2 linked regions of the Alligator mississippiensis genome follow. The protein of the gene in region 1 interacts with the protein of each later gene in a pairwise test. Links are inferred from orthologs where the notes say so. Each region holds a gene or a part of one and is shown in the gene's direction. Other genes may lie near its edges.

Evidence for each region.
Region 2: the proteins of MORN3 (region 1) and RSPH1 interact in binary tests that used the Homo sapiens proteins (3 or more experiments, as listed by UniProt). The two-hybrid records come from large-scale screens. The link is inferred for Alligator mississippiensis from reciprocal best matches to the Homo sapiens genes MORN3 and RSPH1.

Annotation. Positions count from the first base shown.
Region 1 is NC_081833.1:2,653,509-2,663,961, reverse strand, and holds the start of MORN3 (MORN repeat-containing protein 3), read left to right. Parts: upstream 1-5,148; 5' UTR 5,149-5,366; intron 5,367-10,453. UniProt on the Homo sapiens protein: Assembles a suppression complex (suppresome) by tethering SIRT1 and MDM2 to regulate composite modifications of p53/TP53.
Region 2 is NC_081824.1:299,502,527-299,512,858, reverse strand, and holds the start of RSPH1 (radial spoke head 1 homolog), read left to right. Parts: upstream 1-5,283; 5' UTR 5,284-5,337; coding exon 5,338-5,391; intron 5,392-6,503; coding exon 6,504-6,617; intron 6,618-6,737; coding exon 6,738-6,843; intron 6,844-10,332.

The DNA of each region.
Region 1 (10,453 bases):
TACTATCACCCGACTGAGGATAATTCATCAGCAGATATCTCAATATTTATATTTTAATTAGGGATGGGGCCTTTTTCTGTAGCACTAATGCTTCTTCTATAATTTCTACATTGACTCTCTGCTGTGCTTCTCCTTTGCATTTAACTTCCATGTGAACCATATCACTTCACTCCATTTTGCAGTTTACTCATCCTTGTAATGGCAAATGGAGCAAGGTAATTTATACACAAAGCTACTGTAAATCCAGTCTTTAAGAAGTTAGAAATCATCCAACCTATCTATTTAAAGCAAACAGTATACAACTCTGGCCACTAGAGTGAGATAGTATGGTGGTTTTTAATAGTTTCATAGTTGGTAGGGTCGGAAGGGACCTGAGTAGATCATCAAGTCCAACCCCCTGCCGTGGCAGGAAAGAGTACTGGGGTCAAACGACCCTGGCGAGGTGTTCATCCAGTCTCCTCTTAAAGACCCCCAGGGTAGGAGCCAGCACCACTTCTCTTGGAAGTTGGTTCCAGATCCTATCCGCCCTGACATCAGGAGGCACTACTTCACTGTCAGGGCGGCTAGGATCAGTTTTCAACCCGTGGCCCAAGGACCCCTGGGGTCCGCAGATGATGTATAAGGGGTCTGCGAAAAATGATCAAAAGAATGTGAATACCCACGCTTACAATTTAAAGGGGTCCGCACCTCCATTCGAAATTTCCAAAGAAGTCTGCAAATGAAAAACAGTTGAAAACCGCTGAGATAGCAAAATAGTGCACTCTTTCTCGGCTAAACAAAATAGGTGAGCAGCTGACATTTTGTCTTCTAGTCTCTACACTTCCTACAGCACTACAGCATAGAATTTAGGGCGTATCATCCTTCATTCCCCATCTCCCCAAAGTCCACCAGTGCCCCTACACTTCTTGAAGTCCTGTGTTTCTAACAAACTAACCCAGTTCCAGCACAAATTGCTTTATTTCTTTTCTGTATAGATTCTTATGCTGCCCTCATCATCACTAAGGATATCTGAGTGCTTTTGCACAGTGCATTAAGCGACTTGACGAACTTCTGTCATGTATGATTAATTTCCTCTCCTTCTCTTCTCAAGGGAGAAATTGTGCATGCGGTATAATGTTTTGGTAGGTTTTAATTTATTTAATAAATATCTGCATGTTACTATGTGTTTATATTACTGAAGGCAATGTCATATAAACCCTCTTGGAACTTGGAGTGGGTCTTGCTGTGGTTTGTGGTGGTTCTTAGGTCTTCCGGGAGTTTGTTGCAGTCTGGGATTTCCAGTAAGACAGCTGTAATGTGCTTTGGCTAAACTTTACCCTTATAGGAGAAAAGCTCTATTCTCCTCAAATGTGAACCTCATGTTTTATCCTTTTGCTGTTTAGTTCTCATGGGATCTGTGTTGTCTCCAACGCTAGCAGCATTTATCCTTTTAATGACAAATAGAGTAGAGGTAGCTATCTGTGTTAGTCTGAAGTCAGGCAGAAGGCAGGGTAGATTTGCACTTCATAGACTAACTAAGAAATGTATAGCATGAGCTTTCATAAGCACTGGGCTTACACCCAGTGCTGTAGATGCTGCAGGAAGCAGTGACTGGAATGCAAAGGGTAGGGAAGGAGTAGGCACTGCTGAGAAAGGCAGAATCATTGAACCCCTATTCTAAGCATACCTAGGGTATTTTTTTTTAATCTCCCTGAATTTAACATCTGTTGTAGAGTCAGCAGCTCTAGTGTATGCAAGACAGACAGCACTTTGGCCTAGATGATGTAATCTATTCCAATCATTAATCATTGTCAGGTATGAGCCAGAACACAGAAGTAGGTATCATCAGCTGCCTGCTCCTGGGGTTCTTCTTATGTTATAACCACTGTGTCATGGGGATGTTAGTAGGGGAGTATTTTAGAATAGACATTCTGGCACTTGACAGATGCATCAGGACCTAACACTGTTGTGCAGTTGCCCTGTTCACATTTTTCATGCAGGTTTTAATTCTCAGACTCTTCCTCACCCACTCCTATTCCATCAGAGATGTCTTAACTACACAAATGGGTTAAAATGTTGACACCATCTCTCTTATGTATTCTGTCCTCAAGTGTCTTCAGATCTCTGCCTTCACCCTCACTCTGCATCAGCCCTGTTCATTCCAGCAGTTTGGCCAAGACCGTACAGGGAAAATAAGAGACAGAAAGGAGGGGCCTCAACAGATCTGGTAAACTTGTTCACATGCTATACCTGTCCCAGTGAGGAGCCAGCGCTCTGTTATTTTCAGTGGAACAAAGGGTCTTCAAGAGTAAAAAAAGTTTATGTGACCCTGGCTGTGTACAAAATTAAACAGTTGAACAGGCTTTAGGGTTTTGAATTAGAGACTTTGGCCTATTATTTTCATCGTAAACAAGCTCAAAAGTTCATGCCAGAATTTGGAAATTGATTGATTAACATATACAGAAGAAAACATCTAAAACAAGATATTAAAGACAGGAAGAGGGGACTAGAAGGGGTCTCCCAGGCTATCAACTCCAGTCCCCAGAATTGGGTACTTACTGGTATGACAAATAAATGTGTTTAATTCCCTTGAGCCTTTGACCCAAAAGGTGTTTTAAAACCTGCTTTACTGTTGCATCACTAAAACAACTGTGGCTTATATGTACAGAATCCTCAGTTCTTTTTACTTTCAAGCACACTTTCATAAATGTTTGAAAATATAAGCAAAACAAAATCAACACAACACTTATAATGTGAAGGCTAAGAAACTACTGAATCGAACTGTTGCAAAAGCCCTTCAGAAAGAGAATGATGCAGGTTTTGGTAAACATCCAGGCTAGGGACAGAAGTTACACATAAACCAGTTTAAGTGATCAGAAACTGGTTTAAACCTGTAACAGAACAGAAGTTCAGTGCACATAAACCAGTTGCAAAATGGCTGAAATTGGTTTAAGATAAACCTGGTTGAATGTAGTATCAGACATAACTGATTTAGGTCAAACCAGTTTATGAAACTTCTGTCCCATACCCCTTTCCTGGTTCAAGTTAAGTCAGAGTCCCTCAGTATCCCTCCATGCTTTGCAGTCCTGGGCTGGGCTAAGCTGGGCTGGCTGTTCCAGAGAGCAGGGCTGGCCCCGCCCCTTTGCTCCCTAGCCAGAGCAGTGATGGCTGGCTCACTGGCTGCTTCACTGGCCACCCCAGGCAAAACCCAGCTGGGGCCTAGGGCCAGGGAGCGGGGTTAAACTCCCCTTCCCCTGAGTACAGAGCTGCCCTGCCCTGCTAAATTCACTGCTGGCTGTGACTATGGACTAAATCCCAGAGGTACCTGGAAACAGGAAGAGGAAGTGATGAGCACCCCTGCAGTGTCCTGCTGCTGTGATTGTGGGCTGCAAATCCCAGAGACCTTGGGGGCCACAGGAAGAAGTGAACACACGGACGAGCTGTGTTGAATGCTCACTTCAGAGAAACAACAATTCTTGTTCAACCTTTTATGAATTCAATGCCACTACCTTTGTCCCCACCCCCCCCCTCCTCAGCCTGGCTGACGCCCCCACCCTGATGACCCTCCAGCTAGCTCCAGGCTACGGCTTGGCCACATCTCCTTCTCTTGAGCAGGGAGGGGGGGAAAGCCTTGGAGGGCCTTTTGTCTTCCCTTCCCTTTGGCAGTGCCTGGCAGGAGCACTCTAGTACTCCCCGGTTTCTGGCATGAGCCACTGCAGACACGTGACTGCAAAAGTGAATGTCTGTTCATTTGCGTATTGGTTCACTCTCTACAGCTTAGACTAACCTGCAAAGACTGAATCAATTCAGCCTTGAGCTTTTTGACTTCTGAACTTAGCCCCAAAGCTTGATGTAATTTAAATACCAGCACGAATGAACATGGATCTTAAGTTACTTAACCCTCAGGATATCTCAGTGGTCTGATTTTTAGGTCAGATTTTAGGTTAGTCAATCTTGTCTATTCTAACCTATGGCACTGTTAGGCAGAGGGCATGGCAAAATAACACCTTAGGCTGCTTGCAGACATGAAAAAAAAAACTTTACTGGAAGAAGCAGTGCGTTACTTTGACCTGGCTCTGCAGCATCTGTATGGATTGGACGCATCAGCAGGGCTTTTTGGCACTTTTATCTAATAGCTGATTCACTCAACTATTAGATAAAAGCGCCAAAAAAGCCCCACTAAAGCGCTTGATCTATACAGACGCTGCAGAGCTGGGTCGAAGTAACATGTTGTCTCTTCTGGGCATGTGCTGGGCTCAGCACAGGAGGGCACCAAATTTAAAGTCAAGCATGGTTTTTGTTTTGTTTGTGTCTGCAAGCAGCCTTAGAGACTACCTGGTTCAGAGCCATAAGCTTTTCTGGGGAACAGCCGACTTTGTCAGATGCTACTGAACTGTCGTACTAAGAAGGTTATGGTTTCATTTCTTTCCTACAGACACTCTGATGGAAATAAATGCCTTTTTATATAGTGGAGCTGTAGCTTTGAGGAATCACCCTTTGCTCTTTAACAAACCACAACAAATCTAACTTTATGGAAACATGGGTTGAAGTTCATTATTGAGGGCTGAAGGTTACTATTTTCATGACAAAAGCACTTAGGCACCCCAAAGAGATTGGTATCCCACTGTAGGAACACTTTTCAAACATCAGAGACAAGCCCTGCCAGTAATTTGGACAGGCACCTTTCCTACTCTGGAAGGTATCCCTCCCAGTCTGTGTTTTCTCTCACACAGAGACGCTTCCCCATGGAAGTTATGCTAGTGGCCAGCCTTTGGAAATCACCAGAGGAAGCTACTTAGACCAGCTAAATTGGACATATGCTTTGAAAGTTGTTAAATGCTTTGAGGCTTTTTGGAAAATAAAGATATGCTATGACTGTGAAGTAACAGAATAGTATCTACTCACTGAATTTGTTTTAGACCTATATAAGTAAAACTACCTGTTTACCTCTATTTCTAAGGACAAGGAAAATGCATGTATTTATCTTAAGCAATCAATTTTCTAATTTAAATACAAATCAAATATAAATTTATACACATAGATACCCATACACAGGGTGAACGCCAAGGTTTTACTTAAAAAAAAAAAGGCTTGTACTGCTCCAGTAATGATTGCAATTAGATTTGATTGCCAACTCTGTGATGAACCTCATGGAGCCTTTAAACCCTGACAGTGTTGTTCCCTGGATGTGATTCTCACATCTCTTCCCTGCAGAAATGGGCTTGTCTGTTGTGAAAGTTTGCTTGAGTTGCTATGGCTACCCCAGCTGGAGCTCGCGGTACCGTACACAGACTCCAGCTCCTGCTGCTATAATGCTGTAGTTCTCCAGCCCCCCCGGCCGTTCCCTGCAGGACGGACAAACAGATCAGCCCTGAACTGACTCTGAGGTTAGTCTACATGTATTTGCTATTAAAAGAGAGGAGATGGAAATTATTTTAGTCTAGAAACATGGGCCAACGGATACCTGTTAATCTCTTTGCATTGCTTTGGAATGGCTGGCAAATAAGGGGCAGCTAACTTTAGAGATGTTCCCACTAATTAACATCAAGATTTTTCCTATTGCATTAGTCCTTCTCTTGGGGTTGGGGTGGTGCAGGTGCCAAAGAGCACAGTTGACACTCCAGTGGTCATAAATTTGAGGCCATAGCAGAAGTGCTCAGGGCAGGGCCTGTTAGATTCAAACAAAGTCTGCGAATTCTGCTAAATACCTGTCATAGGGATGCAAAAAAAGGAAAGGAGTCTTCCTCCATCCCACTGTCCTCTGATTTAGTCCAACAGACTACATAGGAAAAAAAGATTAAAGTTATTTTGGGGCTAAGGTTGGGGAATGTCTGACTCTGTAAGAAGCTGTTAGCTCAGCCCCACTGTAGCAATTAACATCTAAATTGATGAGCGTTGCAGAGAGATCACTGGCAGCTATGGAACAAAAAAGCAGCAAGACCACCTTCTCCTGCCAGTTACTCATTACATGATGGCAAAAGGAGGTAAAGGAGCAAGAACCAAGCTCCCCAACTTTGTTGCACAGAACAGCCTAAATTTAAACAGCTATGAGGGAAGGGAAGGCAGAAAAAAGCCTGCTTGATTCTGAGAACTCAGTTGTATGCAGCAGCCCAGCAGAGCTGCAGGGCACCTGTTAGTGCTGGCTTCAATTGCTGACTGGCAGCCCAAACCCACAGATACTCTCAGCAGAGCTAGAGCAATCCAGATGAACACGCTGCTATTATCTCTCGGATGCCCAAACTGTATGTGAGGCTAGAAAGTTCAAAGGAGCTCAGTGTCCATGTAGGCATCTAAAAGTGGCCAGAGTTTCAGAACAGCTTGTAGAGTTGGCTGTACGTTGGGTGCTGAGCAGTTCGGAAAATCTGGCCTTCAAGTGTAAACTTCTTAAATTTCTTCTCGCTGATTTAATTGAGAGGTTTTGGGGTTGCAAAGGGATTCTGGCACCGCATGGACACCAGGAACGTGATGCAGAAAAATTGCAAGAGACAGCCCTTTAGAAGGTCAGTGGTGAAGCTACAAAAATAAGTTTCCTGTGGAGTACCTTTAGCTTTTGTCCTGATTTACCCTCCTGAAAGAAAAAGCAAAGAAAATCTAGGCCCCTTGTGGAGCCATGTGAATTAAGACAAAATTATTAGACTAAAGAAAAAAATGTGCTGTAAGAACACAAGGCAAGATTTGGAAGGAGTATACAAACCTGGTCTGGATGGCAGAGCACATGAGATGGTTTTAGTGGGAGCAGCAGCATCTCCTGGTCAGAGTTGTGAACTGCAGCACGCTCATTTGTTGTCAGCTCCCAGCCATTAATGCCAGAGAACAACATTTCAAAACTCGCAGTTTATGTTCTAGATCTATTTGTTTTGCATTTCCTAACTTTTTAAACCTGCAGCCTCAACACTGCGTTACTGTATGTTTGTTATTTTGAATTCTCAATATAAAATTAACACAAAAGCCAACAATAATACAACATTCATCCTTGTAGACTTGGAGATCAAAGCAGGAGACGGCTTTCTCTTCCACAGCGATGTCGAGTCATTTGTATTCTACGGGTGGAATTTTAAAAGAAACATTTAAGAGATACATTTGTAATACGCAGAATGGAGGTGAATTGCTGCTTATGTGAAACTCTTAGCCTTAACATATTTATTTAAAACTGTAACCTAGAATTGTATTAAAATAAGTTATTGTCTTTAATTTCCTTGTGATTTTTGTTTTGTGGGGCGGGGGAAAATGGTAGCTGCAACCCTTGGAGTTAAAGTAGCTGCAACCCGCGGTGCTCTTGGAGTGAAGCGTGAGAGGATTTGACTTTGTTCCGAGTACATACAGTCATGTTCCTGCCCCCAGATGAGTGGATGCTTTGCCTCACTGAGCATTGTGGATCGTGTAGAAAAAGTCTAATCTGAGTGTGTCTGAAGGAACAGCGTGTTTATCTGGCCAATCCTCCCATGCCTTGGTTCCGCTTTTGCAACAAGAAGCCAATAATACTTCCTTATCTCACAGGATGTCACACTAGTATTTGTCGGTTGTTCAGACAGTATAAGTATCTACACACACACAGTCAAATAGGTGGGATTCAGCCTCCTCTGCTGCTCTTCCAGTGAAGTCAGGTGAGGAGTAGGCAAGGCAGAGGGACTCTTCCCACCCCTTGTTTTTACTGCCTAAAATTTGTCACAAATCAGCAGACACTCCTCCAACTCATACTCCATCCTCCTCACCCCCACGCTGCACTTCAGCACAAAGCACCGGCCAAGACTGCACACTTTGCAGATGCAGGGCCTGATGCTGATGACCCCCTTACTCTGACTTCAGTAGGTTTCTATGATGGTGGGCATGTGATCGTTCCTTTTACATACAGTATTCCACGGAGAAAGGGGTATTCTTGCAGAACTATATTCGTTTGGTGATACCTTTAAGCATACATATCACAACAGTAAAACTAACAGGATCTTTTGGGATAAGATGCAAACACAACCCAGCCTAGCTTTTCTTGTACAGTTACCATGATGTCACAAAAACCCAATGATGTCTGTGCATAACAAGATAGACCCCAGTTGCTTGTGTAGTAAATTAAGTTAACTAGACATTGTGAAGGCTTCAAGTGGACTGGGTAGTAAAATATGGGAATCCTGCTTTCTGAAGTGTCCAAGAAAATAACACCCTTGTATGTTTAAGTGTGCTGCTCATTCACAAAGACAAAGTAGAGGCACTGAGGTAGGGGCTACTAATTATTATTATTATTATTATTTATTTGTATTGCAGTAGCACTGAGATGCCTGGACCAGGTTGGTGGGCCATTGTACTTAACATTGTACAAGTACATAGAAAATGATAGTTCCTGACTCTCAGAGCCCACAGACTGGAAATAAGCTGTTAACACATGGGTGAAACAAAACCACAGAAAACAAAAAAATACCAGGCAGGATGAATGAGTAATAACAGGATCCATTAGGACAGACTTGCCATTTGCCCAGTCCATTGTTGGATGACATCAATTGTCCACAGCAATTTGAAGTTGACATACCAGGTGCTAGGTCACTGTCAAGTAGCAATTCTCCATTGGTAGCACGGTGGAGATGTTTCTTAACAAGTGATTTGAAGTACAAGAGTACAGGAACAGTACATTTTGAAGGGGACATTTTTCCATCTAGTGGGGCAGTACAAGAGGAAAATGCAAAGGCTGACCTTGAGCCAACAGATGTTCTAGGCTCCCGTCTTTGCCGGAGTAAAGGGAACATTCAAAATCAAATTCATGTAATAGGATGGACAAGCAGGGAGCAGCTAAATTATGAATGGCTTCAATGGGGGAAACATGAAGATGCTGATCTGATGGGACAGAACGAGAGGGAATTGTCTATGCAATATGCAAATCTGCTTCTATCTTCCTTTTCCTTGCTCCAAAGCATAGGCACTGACTGGTATTTTTGCTGGGGGGGGCCTAAGATGATGGACAGATGGAAAATTTTATGCGTTTGAGGTAACAGCCCTCTTCCTGAGGGGGGCCATGTACTCATGGGCACCTCTGCTCCAAAGGGCTTTTTGTAATCTTGCTTTGTTTGTTCGGATCCAACCTTTCTGTCTTCCTTTCCTACTCTTTTACTAGCTATGTTGTTACAGATTATTGTCACTTATATTGAACTTCACCCATTTTTCCAACAATTGAGCTCATAATCAGGGTGGGTCTGCTAGACTCCAGTTATTACAGCATGGCCATTTCATTAATACAGCATGGCATATTTGCATTACCTTAAAACTACGGCAGCAACTCAACTGGCCTCTAAAAGCAAAGAAAGGGAATTAAATGCACATCTCAGCAAATAGCAAGGCCTGAATGTTTTGTGAGCTACAGGCATCCTTAATCAGCTGATGTACAGTTCCACTTGCTTGAGGGAGTACAAATAAAACTCCATTTAGTCCATTTGCATTCTCTTGCCTCAGGGCTTCCATTATTTAGTAAAAAAAAAATCCCCAAACAAGAGAAAATTAACACAACTTGCTCAATAATAACCAAGACAGTCTTCTCCAGCTTCTCAAACGAAAGAAATGGAGAGAGACAATTTTATCGTACCCTTCAAGGTATTTCCATCCCTACCACATTCCCCTACTCAGCTTAGGCTTTTTTACAGCTCCAAAACTGGCTCCCATTCTGGGCTCCCAGTCTGCCTCCACCGGGGAATTGCAGCTCCCAGAGTACCTGCTCTTACAATATGCTATGGCTTAACAGGCCCAGGGGGTGCCCAAATGTGCCCACAAGCCATGAATTGAAAAAAGCAAAAGGCAAAAAAAAAACACAGGTGCCAAAGCTGCAATTCCCAAATGGTTATTTAAAGCAATAAAAGCTACTCTTTGGTAACAGCTTTTGAAAATTGAGCCACGGATTACTATTTATTAATTTAATTACTGAATAACTCTTTATTTATTCAGAAGCAGGTTAGCAGCCTGACGTTACGTGCATGTTCTAATGTTGTAGCAATCTTGATCTCCTCTGAGTTGTCTGAAGTGCATTTCCGTAGTGCGCTCCTATAAAGAAAAGCATCTTGTACTCAACCTTTGTAGCATTGCTGTTCAGAAATCTTAGAAATCATGAGTCAGACCTCTCACCTCAAGTAATAATTATTGACTTCAAAATAAATTTATCAACATAAAAATGCATTATGTGTTCTTTTTATTTTCTTGCTGTTTTTTTCAAGTATATTTCTTCTCAACCATGACCATAGAAACTTAACTTTATTTTCAAATGAAAGCTAAGAGTCACACATATTCATATGGTTCCAGTAGCTGAGCCTTTGAAAACACCAGTTATCACAAGATGCGTAACAGAAAGGGTGGCAAGTTTACTTTTGATTATCACAAATGTCTTCTCATGTGTCTTTAAATTATTGATATATTTTGGCCTCTTTTCTGTATCCTAAAATATGTTTTGTACTTATCATCTCCATTTAAAACATTACCGCACTATAGGCCCTTACAGATTAAATTA
Region 2 (10,332 bases), on another chromosome or scaffold:
AAAGGTAAATGGAGCATCCAGGTATGCTCTTCTGGAGCTACTAGGGACTGAGCCACCAAGTATTAAAGTATTTGTAAAGGTTTATTAGAGAGTGCACTTGTCAAAGGCTCAGCTGGCATCAGTAGGTCAGCAATAGCAATCCTTCCATTACTACTGTTTTCCTTGACTTGGACCAATAGGATCTCACCTCTCCCAAAGTCCAAAAAAATCTAGAGTTCTGCTGAGCCTTATGTGAGGCCTGAAAAGTCCTTTATGGCCCCTTGCTGACCCCTGGGGTGCTCCTACCTTTGCCTGGATACCTTCATACTCATAGCTCCTCTCTGGGAATTTGTGTCTTCGTGCTGTGCTAGCCTAGGCCATTTTCAAGGCTCTTTTCCAAGACTACTTATGCCTGGCTGCTGCCCCCTTCTGTCTGGGTGGCAGTCTTCTAGCCAAGTTGGCACAGCTAGCCTCTTAGAGCTGGAGAAGCAACCCATCCCTCCATTTCCTCGTTCTAAATTGTTACAGTGTGGGTTATAGAAATCCCATCACTGCACCTGAAATAGATGCATCTTTGAGTTTTAATTTTGGCCCTTTGGTACAGCAAAATAAAAGAATTCCTGTATGAAGTTTTGTACTATTGGGCATTAACAGTGATTTTTCACTACTGGATAAGCAATATCTTTCAACAGAAGCAGGACTGCATTTTATCAGGGATATTAAATTTATATTACTTATTAGTAATGTAATAGATTTATATTGCTTATTAGTAATGTAATAGAAAAATCACTGTTATACTAGTAATACTAGTAATGTAAATCAGGCATTAACTATCCCTGATAAAATGCAGTCAGAAGACCAGAAGCTACAAAATATATTCACATATGATATGATCTTGAATTGTATTTACTTCTATAATATATAGTCATTAGGATGTGACAAGCTCCTTGGGTAAGAAAAATTGCAAATAATAAGACAGTTCGATCAAACCATATTTTCTTGCACACTGATCCTTCCAATAGCAACACTTTATTCACTAAACTTAAGGCTGCTTGAGTTTTCAGAAGAAATAATTAATGGGTGGGTCCCATAGAAATTTGTACATGACTCCCCTCACTCCCATTCAAAACAGCAGTCTGAAACGTTCATTACCTAGAGAAAGTGTATTTAACCACAGATATGGAAAATGTGTGCTATAGCTTGTCAGTGCATCCTGTTGGACAGAATTATACCCTTAGCTATGTTAACTGTGAGGCTAAAGTACATATTAGTCCAGGTAACTTAATAAGGATTGCCTTCAAATTATTGAGATGCATATTCAGCCACACACCTACACCCCCCTTAACTGCTTAGGATTAATTTGCCTCTCATGCATAAAAAATAACTACTTTTAAAATGAAAGGCTTTACTTTACTGAGCAGAAAGGCTTAGCATTCCTTAGGCACGAGAAACATGTGATATTATCAGGGTTGAGGAAGGAGGAGATGAGGTTTATGGCTATATTTAAAGCAGGCATATGGATATCAAGCACTGACAGCAGTAAGTAATCAGAACAGCCGTTTGCATAATACGCAGTTATTTAGTAACTGCAGAGCTATTATTCAAATTGGACCTCCTCAGCCAGACACTGGCAATTTGCATAGAAGCAAAATAAACCTACAATTGTGAGTTAAGTGTAAAGCTTGCTCATACTATGTCAGAATTCAAGTACAAAGCATTTTAAAATTAATACAGATACACCAAACTCTAAAGCCAGAAGATGAGGAATTTGTTAGCTAAGGATACGGCCATTTTGAGGTCCATGTTAGTATGTTGCCTACTAGACGAAAAGAGAGCCATTAATCAGAGTGCAGGACAGTTGTACATGTGAAACCATAAATGTCCAAGGGATTTGGAGTCTTACACTTTAATTGTCACGCTGGTACCTAAATAGTCACTTAGCATCCATGCAGCACCCTTGTGCTCCTATTGTCTGTGACAATTCAGTTTCAGTGTAACTTGATAGTAATTTTAATAGCCCATGACTATTATCATAGAATCATAGAAAATTAGGGTTGGAAGGTCATCTAGTCCAACCTCAGGAGATCATCTAGTTCAGGGGCGGACAATTATTTTGGGCAGAGGGCCGCTTACTGAGTTTCGGCAAGCCACCGAGGGCCACATGACAGGCAGCCCAGGGCAGATTAATATTAATTTTCTAAATTTTTTAGGGGCCCCGTGGGCTGGGTAGAATGGCCTGGTGGGCCGCATCCAGCCCCCGGGCTGCATTTTGCCCACCCCTGATCTAGTTCAACTGCCTATTCAAAGCAGGACCATCCCCAACTAGATCATTCCAGCCAGGGCTTTGTCAAGCTGGGTCTTAAAAGCCTTCAAGGATAGAGATTCTACCATCTCTCTAAGTCATCTGTTCCAGTGCTTCACCCTTCTCTTAGTAAGAAGGTTTTTTCCTAATATCCACCCTGAACCTCCCTTGCTGCAACTTGAGACCATTGCTCCTTGTTCTGTCATCTGTTTTGTTTATACACGAACATAGGGTTTTTTTCCAAACCAGATCACATCCCTCATTCATAAATTCTGATATCTTGCTATCTTGCTTCCATCAGAAGGTAGGGTAGGGTCACACATTAGTGCAGTGCTTCACAACCAGCTTTCCATGTCACCCTGGGGTGCCTCAAGATCCTTTCAAGGTTGCAACAGGGTGCCATGTAATGTTAGTATTGTTAGGAATGCAACTATGATTCACAAAATAAATCCAGACATTTCAAATAGGATCCTTAGTGTTAAAAATATTCTGAGCTTCTGGGATCTTTCTGATTTCTTTGCAACAGAAAAACTTCACAATTATTTCTTCATAGTCAAAAAATGAGTAAAAACTAAGAGCTGGCATTTTCCAAGGAATACTTTGAGTCTAACAAGGGGTACCTTACATCTAGAAAGGTTGAGAACCATTGCCCTAGAGTGAAGTTACACATTTCATTTAGAACATACTAAGGACATTTAAAACAACAGGTGTATCTACATGTTTAATTAATGTGCTATAGGTAATGTGTATTAAATCTAGTACCCATGGGCCCCTATACACATGCAGGGAGGCTGCTCCAATGTGCTTTAATTACAGCGTGTTGGAGCAGACACGATTGAATCTGCAGAAGCGTGATAATTATTGCACTCCAGCAGACTCCAGCATCACATCTATCAGTGTCCCCACATTGAAAAATGGTGGCAGAGGCGCTTTAACTAAAGCTTGTTTGACAAGCTGTAGTTAAAGCACCATTGCTGGTATTTTTAAGTGTGGGGATGCTGATACACGTGACACTCCACGTGCTTTAATTAGTGCAGTTCTTAGAGCCATGCTAATTAAAGCACCCACCCCAGGCCTCTTGGATCATGTCTATAAATGCCCTTCATTGTAAGGTACTACAAAAATGAGCATGAGCTAAAGGTAATAGTTTTTTGTGATGCTTTAATAAGCATTAAAATAGGCTAATGCACATTAAAGTGCATGTGTAGACACATACAAGCACCCATACATTAAAGTTAGTTAAGTTGTGCTAAGTTTCCTCTGAGCATCTCAGAATTAAGTCAATTCACATGATGGTTAATTCTGGGCTGTGTTATCTAGCTCATGTTAGAGTAACTTTAGTCTGCTCCACAGAGCTTAAAGGAGATATATGCAATCCTCCAGCATCCCAGGATAAACTGTTCCTCCCTCCCCCTTCAGCAGGGATATAGTCTTGGTGTCCTGGCTCCTAGCCACCTCCTTGCTGGCAAACCTCTAGTGGCAGGTCAGAGCTCTGTAGGCAAGAAACATTATTACTCTTTAACATACAACCACTCACAGCATGTTCGAACGTTAACACCACCTAACTTTCCACAGATTTAGTATGGTCTAAGTATAACATGTTACTACACCCTTAGAAACTAACTGGTTTAGAGACGCATGGTTTTAAACAGACAACAACCTACCTTATTGTTGAACTATCCCTGGCATCTGAGAAAGTAAGTTGTTGGTCAGATACTAGGAATGGTCTAATGAAAAAACTGGATTGCCATTCCTCCAGTGGTTTATATGGGAAGTAGAGAATCCTTCCAGACTGCTAATGCAATAATCTTACATGCTGAAGGCTGAGGCTTGTTTGCCAATATGCCAATAATCAAAACATACAAGTTACCTGCAATGCACTGTTCTTGTACTCAGACAGAAAACATGTTGCCTTGATGCTTGTTCAGGCGCACACAAGTTCTTTTGTCCACAAATTCTCCTTAGTAGGAGGAGTGCTAACCTAAGACAGCTTCATCCTTCCGGTTGGATTTCAGACACTTCAGCAGAGCGAAGTCTAGCATATGTCTTCTGGCTTCAATTTAAAAAGAAAACACAGTTTGTAATAAGATTCACCCAGCTTCTGCAGAGCGCTTGCTCTGTTGTCCAGATGCATAAAGATTCATTTACAAGCTGAAGTCATATGATACAATGAACAGATAAGATCTGTGACCTGCAATGTCCAAGTAGCTCTGAACCCAAGAGAAACAATGCTGGATGTAGCTATAGTTTAAAATGTAACATGTTCTTTATATTTACTGATTTCAGGCCCAACCATTCTGCATGACTGCGAACTCCCAGAGGGCAGAAATGAAGCTGCACGACTATGAGAGAGATTCGCTCTAAATGGCATGAGACAGACTCATTACCTTTATTCTGCAATAGAAATGACCATATTTTCTTGCGCACACATGTGCCACAGTATAATACCCACAGTGCTTTTGAAAGATTTTTCCAGCGTTCTGGCTGCACAGAGCAGGGACAGAGCCCAATCTCCCACTAACTAACCTGCCTAACTAAAGTGGAAACCCTAGCTGTTTCCATGGGTGGAAGGATGATTTTGAAGAAAGCAGAAGACTCTCCAGGGGGGTGAGAAATAGGAGAAGAGAGGATGGGTGCAAGGAGTTCGAAACAAAATTGCCCTAAGAAAAGTTAACTTGATTAATGGTAACACCCAGTCCATTAAAAAGGAGAGCTGATGGCCCAGCCAGGCTCCCCCAACTGTGGGGGAGGTTCCCAACCCCCTGGACCCACGTGACAGCAGGAAAGTCATCCCCCAGCCTCATGCAGCAGCCAACCGAGCCCGGGCAATGTCCACAGCTGCGCGCCGGGCAGGAAGGGGTTACTGCGCAGGGAGGGGGCGGGGCTAAGAGCGCCGCGCTCAGGACCCGGGACAGCAGCGCGAGCCCCACCCCCCGCCCGGAAGAGCTCGGGGCGGTGCCCGCGTTGCCTTGGCGACGCCGCTCGCTGTTCTAACCGCCTCCCTCCCCACCTTGCGGGGGTGGTCTCCATGGCGACGGTGACGCGGCTGCGGCGCCATGTCGGACCTGGGCTCGGAAGAGTTTGAGGAGGAGGCGGAGACCGACCTCGGGGTGCGCGCGGGCCGCCGTAGCGCCCCCCACCCCTCGCCCCAATGGCCCCCGCCGGGTCCTAGCGCCCCCACGCGCGAGAGACCTGCCCCCCACCCCGCCGCTGGGTGCCGGGTCTGGGGGGCGTGGGCACATGGACGAGGGGTGGATGTGTAAATGGATGGATGGACAAGACAGCTGGATGGATGCCTTGATGGATGTATGGTTAGATAGATGGATGGATGAGTGGATGGAAAGATGCATGGATGGACCGATGGGTGGTCAGGTAAATAGATGAGTGAATGGATGGATGAATGCATTGATGGATGGGTGGATGGATGGATGGACAGACAGGTGGAGGGATGGGTAGGTGCATGGATGGATGGATGTGCGGACAAGCAGATAGATGGGCGGATATGCGGATGGACAGATAGATGCACGGATGGATGGACGGACGGATGTGCATTTGACCGGATGGGTGGTTGGATAGACAGATCGGTGGATGAATGGATGGGTGGACACAGGGGGAGGGGCAGTGCTGAAAAGAAGGTGGCTTCCAGATGCCAAGCAGGAGCCGGTGTACATCCCTGCTTGAGGGTGGGAGTTTTTGGGGAAAGGACATGGTCTAGGGGTTCTCAACCTTTATAGAACCCCACCCCCGAGCACTGCCAGCTCATAGCTTTCACTCATGTTTTTTGACTGCAGAACAAGAGTAGAGCAGTTCTTCCATTGCAAAAAACTCAGGAAGACCCCAACAGGGCAGAGTGCTTTTAACACCATGGATTCCTACTGGAAATCTCTGGGTTTATCTCAGGAATCAGGTGTGCACACCTGACAGTGCTAACATTGCATGGCACCCCTGCTATTATACCCTTAAAAGGATCTCAAAGCACCCCAGGCTGCCTTAGCATCATGGTTGAGAATGACCAACCTAAGCAAGGGACTCAGAAAAGGAGCAGGTCACAACCAAGAAGTGGCTGCCTTTTCTTACACATGCTGAATTCAGCTTCCAGTCTCCCTCTCAGCAGATGAATGGCATTACTTGAGACTAAAAAAAAAAAATTTTCCTATCAATGCAACTGATAGAACAAAAAATAATCATAAAACCCACCTTGCATCTTGTTCTTTTTAATTAGGAGTATGATGGTGAGCGCAATGCAGCAGGTGAACGGCATGGACATGGACGAGCTCGGTTACCCAATGGTGATACATATGAAGGAGAATATGCATATGGTCTAAGAAACGGATTGGTAAGATTTAGCGCAGTCCTCTCTAACGAGTCATTTATATGTTTCAAACAGTTTTATTAAACGAGGCTGAAATGATAGTGAAAATTGACAAGCCCTATATCTACACCAAATATGTTTCAGGGAACCTACAGATTTAAAAATGGTGCTCGCTACATTGGAGAATACCTTCAAAACAGAAAGCATGGCCATGGCATTTTTATGTATCCAGATGGATCAAAGTATGAAGGTAAAGTGCTGACCATGATTCTGAGGATTTAAACACCTGAGAAGGCAAGGTTATACACTTAAGTGTTAGGAGAAAATAAGTCTAGTGCCACATTTCTAACTATATTTCTAACACCAACATTTCTGTGTTTCTTTCCTGTTATTCCTGCCTTTTTGCAAATTTGGGAGGGAAGTGGCTTGAAGTATTTGGCAGGGATTTATTGTCTCACTAACTCAATCAACAGAATTTAATATTCCAAATTATACACACCATTGAGCAAAGTTTTTACATCCTCCATTGGAATAATAGAAGAGAGTATAGTTACATTACAAGAGCAAACAATATCAAGAATATGTGTTCACATGTAGTGATTAAGCTCCTAGAATTGTAGATTTCAGTCCAGAGTATTTTTCCTCTTTCAGAGAATTATGTTATCATAATGATAAAGTGTAGGATGTATAGCTCCAGTACACCCAAAACAGCAAAGAGTAGAAACTGAACCTAAGAACAGGTGCTGTGATCACTACCCAGCCTTGGCACAATTTAAAGCATCTGTAAAAAGTATTTATGATTTCTGGCATATGTTTACCAACAGAGAACTGGGCATGGCTGAGCAGGCTCTGCCACATACCCACTTTCTTCCCTGGACAGCCCCTGTCTCCTGACCTCTCTTTTTGCTATACCAAATGGTAGCAAGGAAGTGCTAAGAGATGTGCAGAAGATTAAATTAATTCATGCAGCAGAGTCTTTGGGCAAATGTATACACAAAGAAAGCCTATGCAAGATTATTAGTGCTTAATTACAATACACAAACAGTATTCAGTCACTGCCAAACCTGGAGACACCTTCCTGTTTGACCTGAAAATTCTCTAAATTTCTGTGGTTTTCCTTCATTTGAACCAGGACTTCCCTGATCCAGCTCATACCAAGGCCTCATTAGCATGGAGAAACGAGGCAGAGAGACATGCCAGTCATGTGAAGACCTGCAGTATATTAGATGGTGTGCAATACCAGCTGTCTAGCCCTTGGCCAAGGAGCATTTCTTCTCATTCTTGAACATTTATGAGTTATCTTTGTGGAACAATCTCTATTTGGGCAATACATTTTCTGTCTTGTTCCACTTCGTGACAGGGGGAAACCTGACTGTCTAGTAGTTTATGGTCACATTATGAAAGTTGTGTACAGAAATCACACCTTACAAGTCTTTCATTAGACTTAATGAGTCAATAGTCCTCTTTCACCAGGCTGTACTGTCTATTTCTTGGTTCATTTAGACAGTCTTTCACTCCAGGCTGTCAGGCCCAATAGTGACAATTCAAGAGTATGCTACTTCATCACGTGGGGGTTGTGTTTACTGAGTGACTCACTATGATCTCTCACCCTCTGCATACCGGTAGTGTCTTAGCACCTCTTACTCTGGGCAAGGTTAAGGTATGGGAATCCAGGCCCATCAGGCTCTTCTGGTTTAAGGTCCTGACCCTGTCTGGCTATGAAGATCTCCTACAAATCCACACTCCACTGGATCCGTGAACCATGGAATTTATTATCAACCATCTTCCTTAGCTTGTTTCGTTTTCCAGTTTCCTCAAACCTCTTCAGTGCACCCAGCTCTAACTCTTCTCTTTTGCTGTTCCTTTTTTCTGGTCACTGGCTCTGTACTGCTCTTCTCTGTAGTCTTCATTAATCCTCTGCTCTGGTACCCCAGTTTTCTCCATGAGCTGTCCAGCACCATACTTTTGACTAGAGCAGGGGTTTTCAACCTTTTTTGGTTGGTGTACCCCTGGCAGCCGCTCGAGAAGCGGGGAGTCCCTTAGCAGCCAGTCAACAAGCGAAACCAGAAGTGTCAGTAGCTTTTCCGTACTGCTGCCATGGAACCGCTGGGGCCTTCCAAAGTAACCTAGGGGTACACGTACCCTCGGTTGACAACCCCTGGACGAGCTTTAGCCGCCAGACTGCAGCTCACTTCTTTTCCTGATTCAGCCCTTATATAGTCTCAGGTGGTGGAACCCATATTGGGAAGTCTCCAGTCTTAAAGGGCCTGCAGAGGTGCCCCCCTGTGCATCTATGTAAATGGAATTAGGGAATGCTATTACAGCACAGAAAAGTGGTTTGAGGCTGATTTATTTTCTGCGTCTTCTTTTGACAGCAAGGAGATTAGTTGAGTCAAACTCTTATCTTCTTCATTAACTGTTTTAAAGATTTTTTTTCTAGGAAGTCATTTAACTCCAGGATTAACACTTTTCTGTAAAAAGGCTTTGCTTTCTTTTCAGTAAAGATTTTAACACAGGCCTAGTACAGAATAACATCAACTTTAAACAAAGGATTAAAAACTAGAGACTGAATTTTGAAGTGTCAGGGCCAAACTTAGGCACTTAATAGAACAGATGGAGATCTAGATGTGAATGGCTCAGGTCCATTACTCAATATCTTTTCTATGAAAATCAAAATATACAGTTACTCATAATTGCCTAAAGTTTAAGCAGACAAGTTTGTAAATGTGGACACTTAAACCAGGTTAAAAGCATATTGCAGCTAAGATGTAGGATCTTTTTGGGAGTCTTGAAAATATTTTCACACTGTTCTTTTATTTGATGATCTAGAACCTCCCAGATTGCAGTGGTGATTTGAATAGAAAAATTATCATAGAGTTGTTTTGTGTTATGATTTCCAAAGAAGGCCTGAAAAAGGTTTTTGACCACATTATAAATTCAAGTCCTATATAGGTGTAACAGGTACATGATCTGGGCCGCCCTTAATGTGGCCCACACCTGTCTCTGGGGCAACCACCCACCTACTCACCTGCCATGCCTTGTTGTTAGTTAATTAATTAGTGTTAATTAGCAGGAGGCTGCCCTGGTACCGCCCCGCTGCCAGGGGGCGCTATCTGCGGCTCCTTTCCTTTCCAATACCTCAGCCCAAGCCTCGCAGATGTTAACTCAGGTGTATCCCTATCTTGGCCCCTTCCTGTTCTCTCTGGGCCTTCTCTGTGATGCTAACGCCCTCTCCTGGGCTCCCCGTGCCCAACTTGGGCTTGCTGAATTATGCTGCCCCCCCTGTCTGGGGCTCGCCATGCCCACACTTGGACTCCTCAATCACGCTGCCCTCTCCTGGGGCTCACAGTGCCCAACTTGGGCTTCTCAGTCATGCTGCCCTCTCCTGGGGCTCACCACGCCCACACTGGGGCCCCTCAGTCGCCCCCCCCCTGGGCTGGGTCTATGTATCCCCTATGCTGCACCCGCACTGGTGCTGGGGTCCTCACACTCTGCTGTGAGTCCCCTATGAGGCCTCCTCCAACCCCTTATAGCCTCACCCAAACCACCGGTTTAACCAACAACAAAACACAAGCCCCTGGGCTGTAACATAAATTGAAGCTGCCTGGCTAAAACAACATTGCTCAAGCCTCAAGAACTGCCATAAACCGTACCTGCGGTCAGGCTTCTTCTCGTATCCTAGCTTAGGGAGCCCCTGCCTCTCTGGCTGCTGACAGGGAACTGCCTCAGGCCTCTGCTG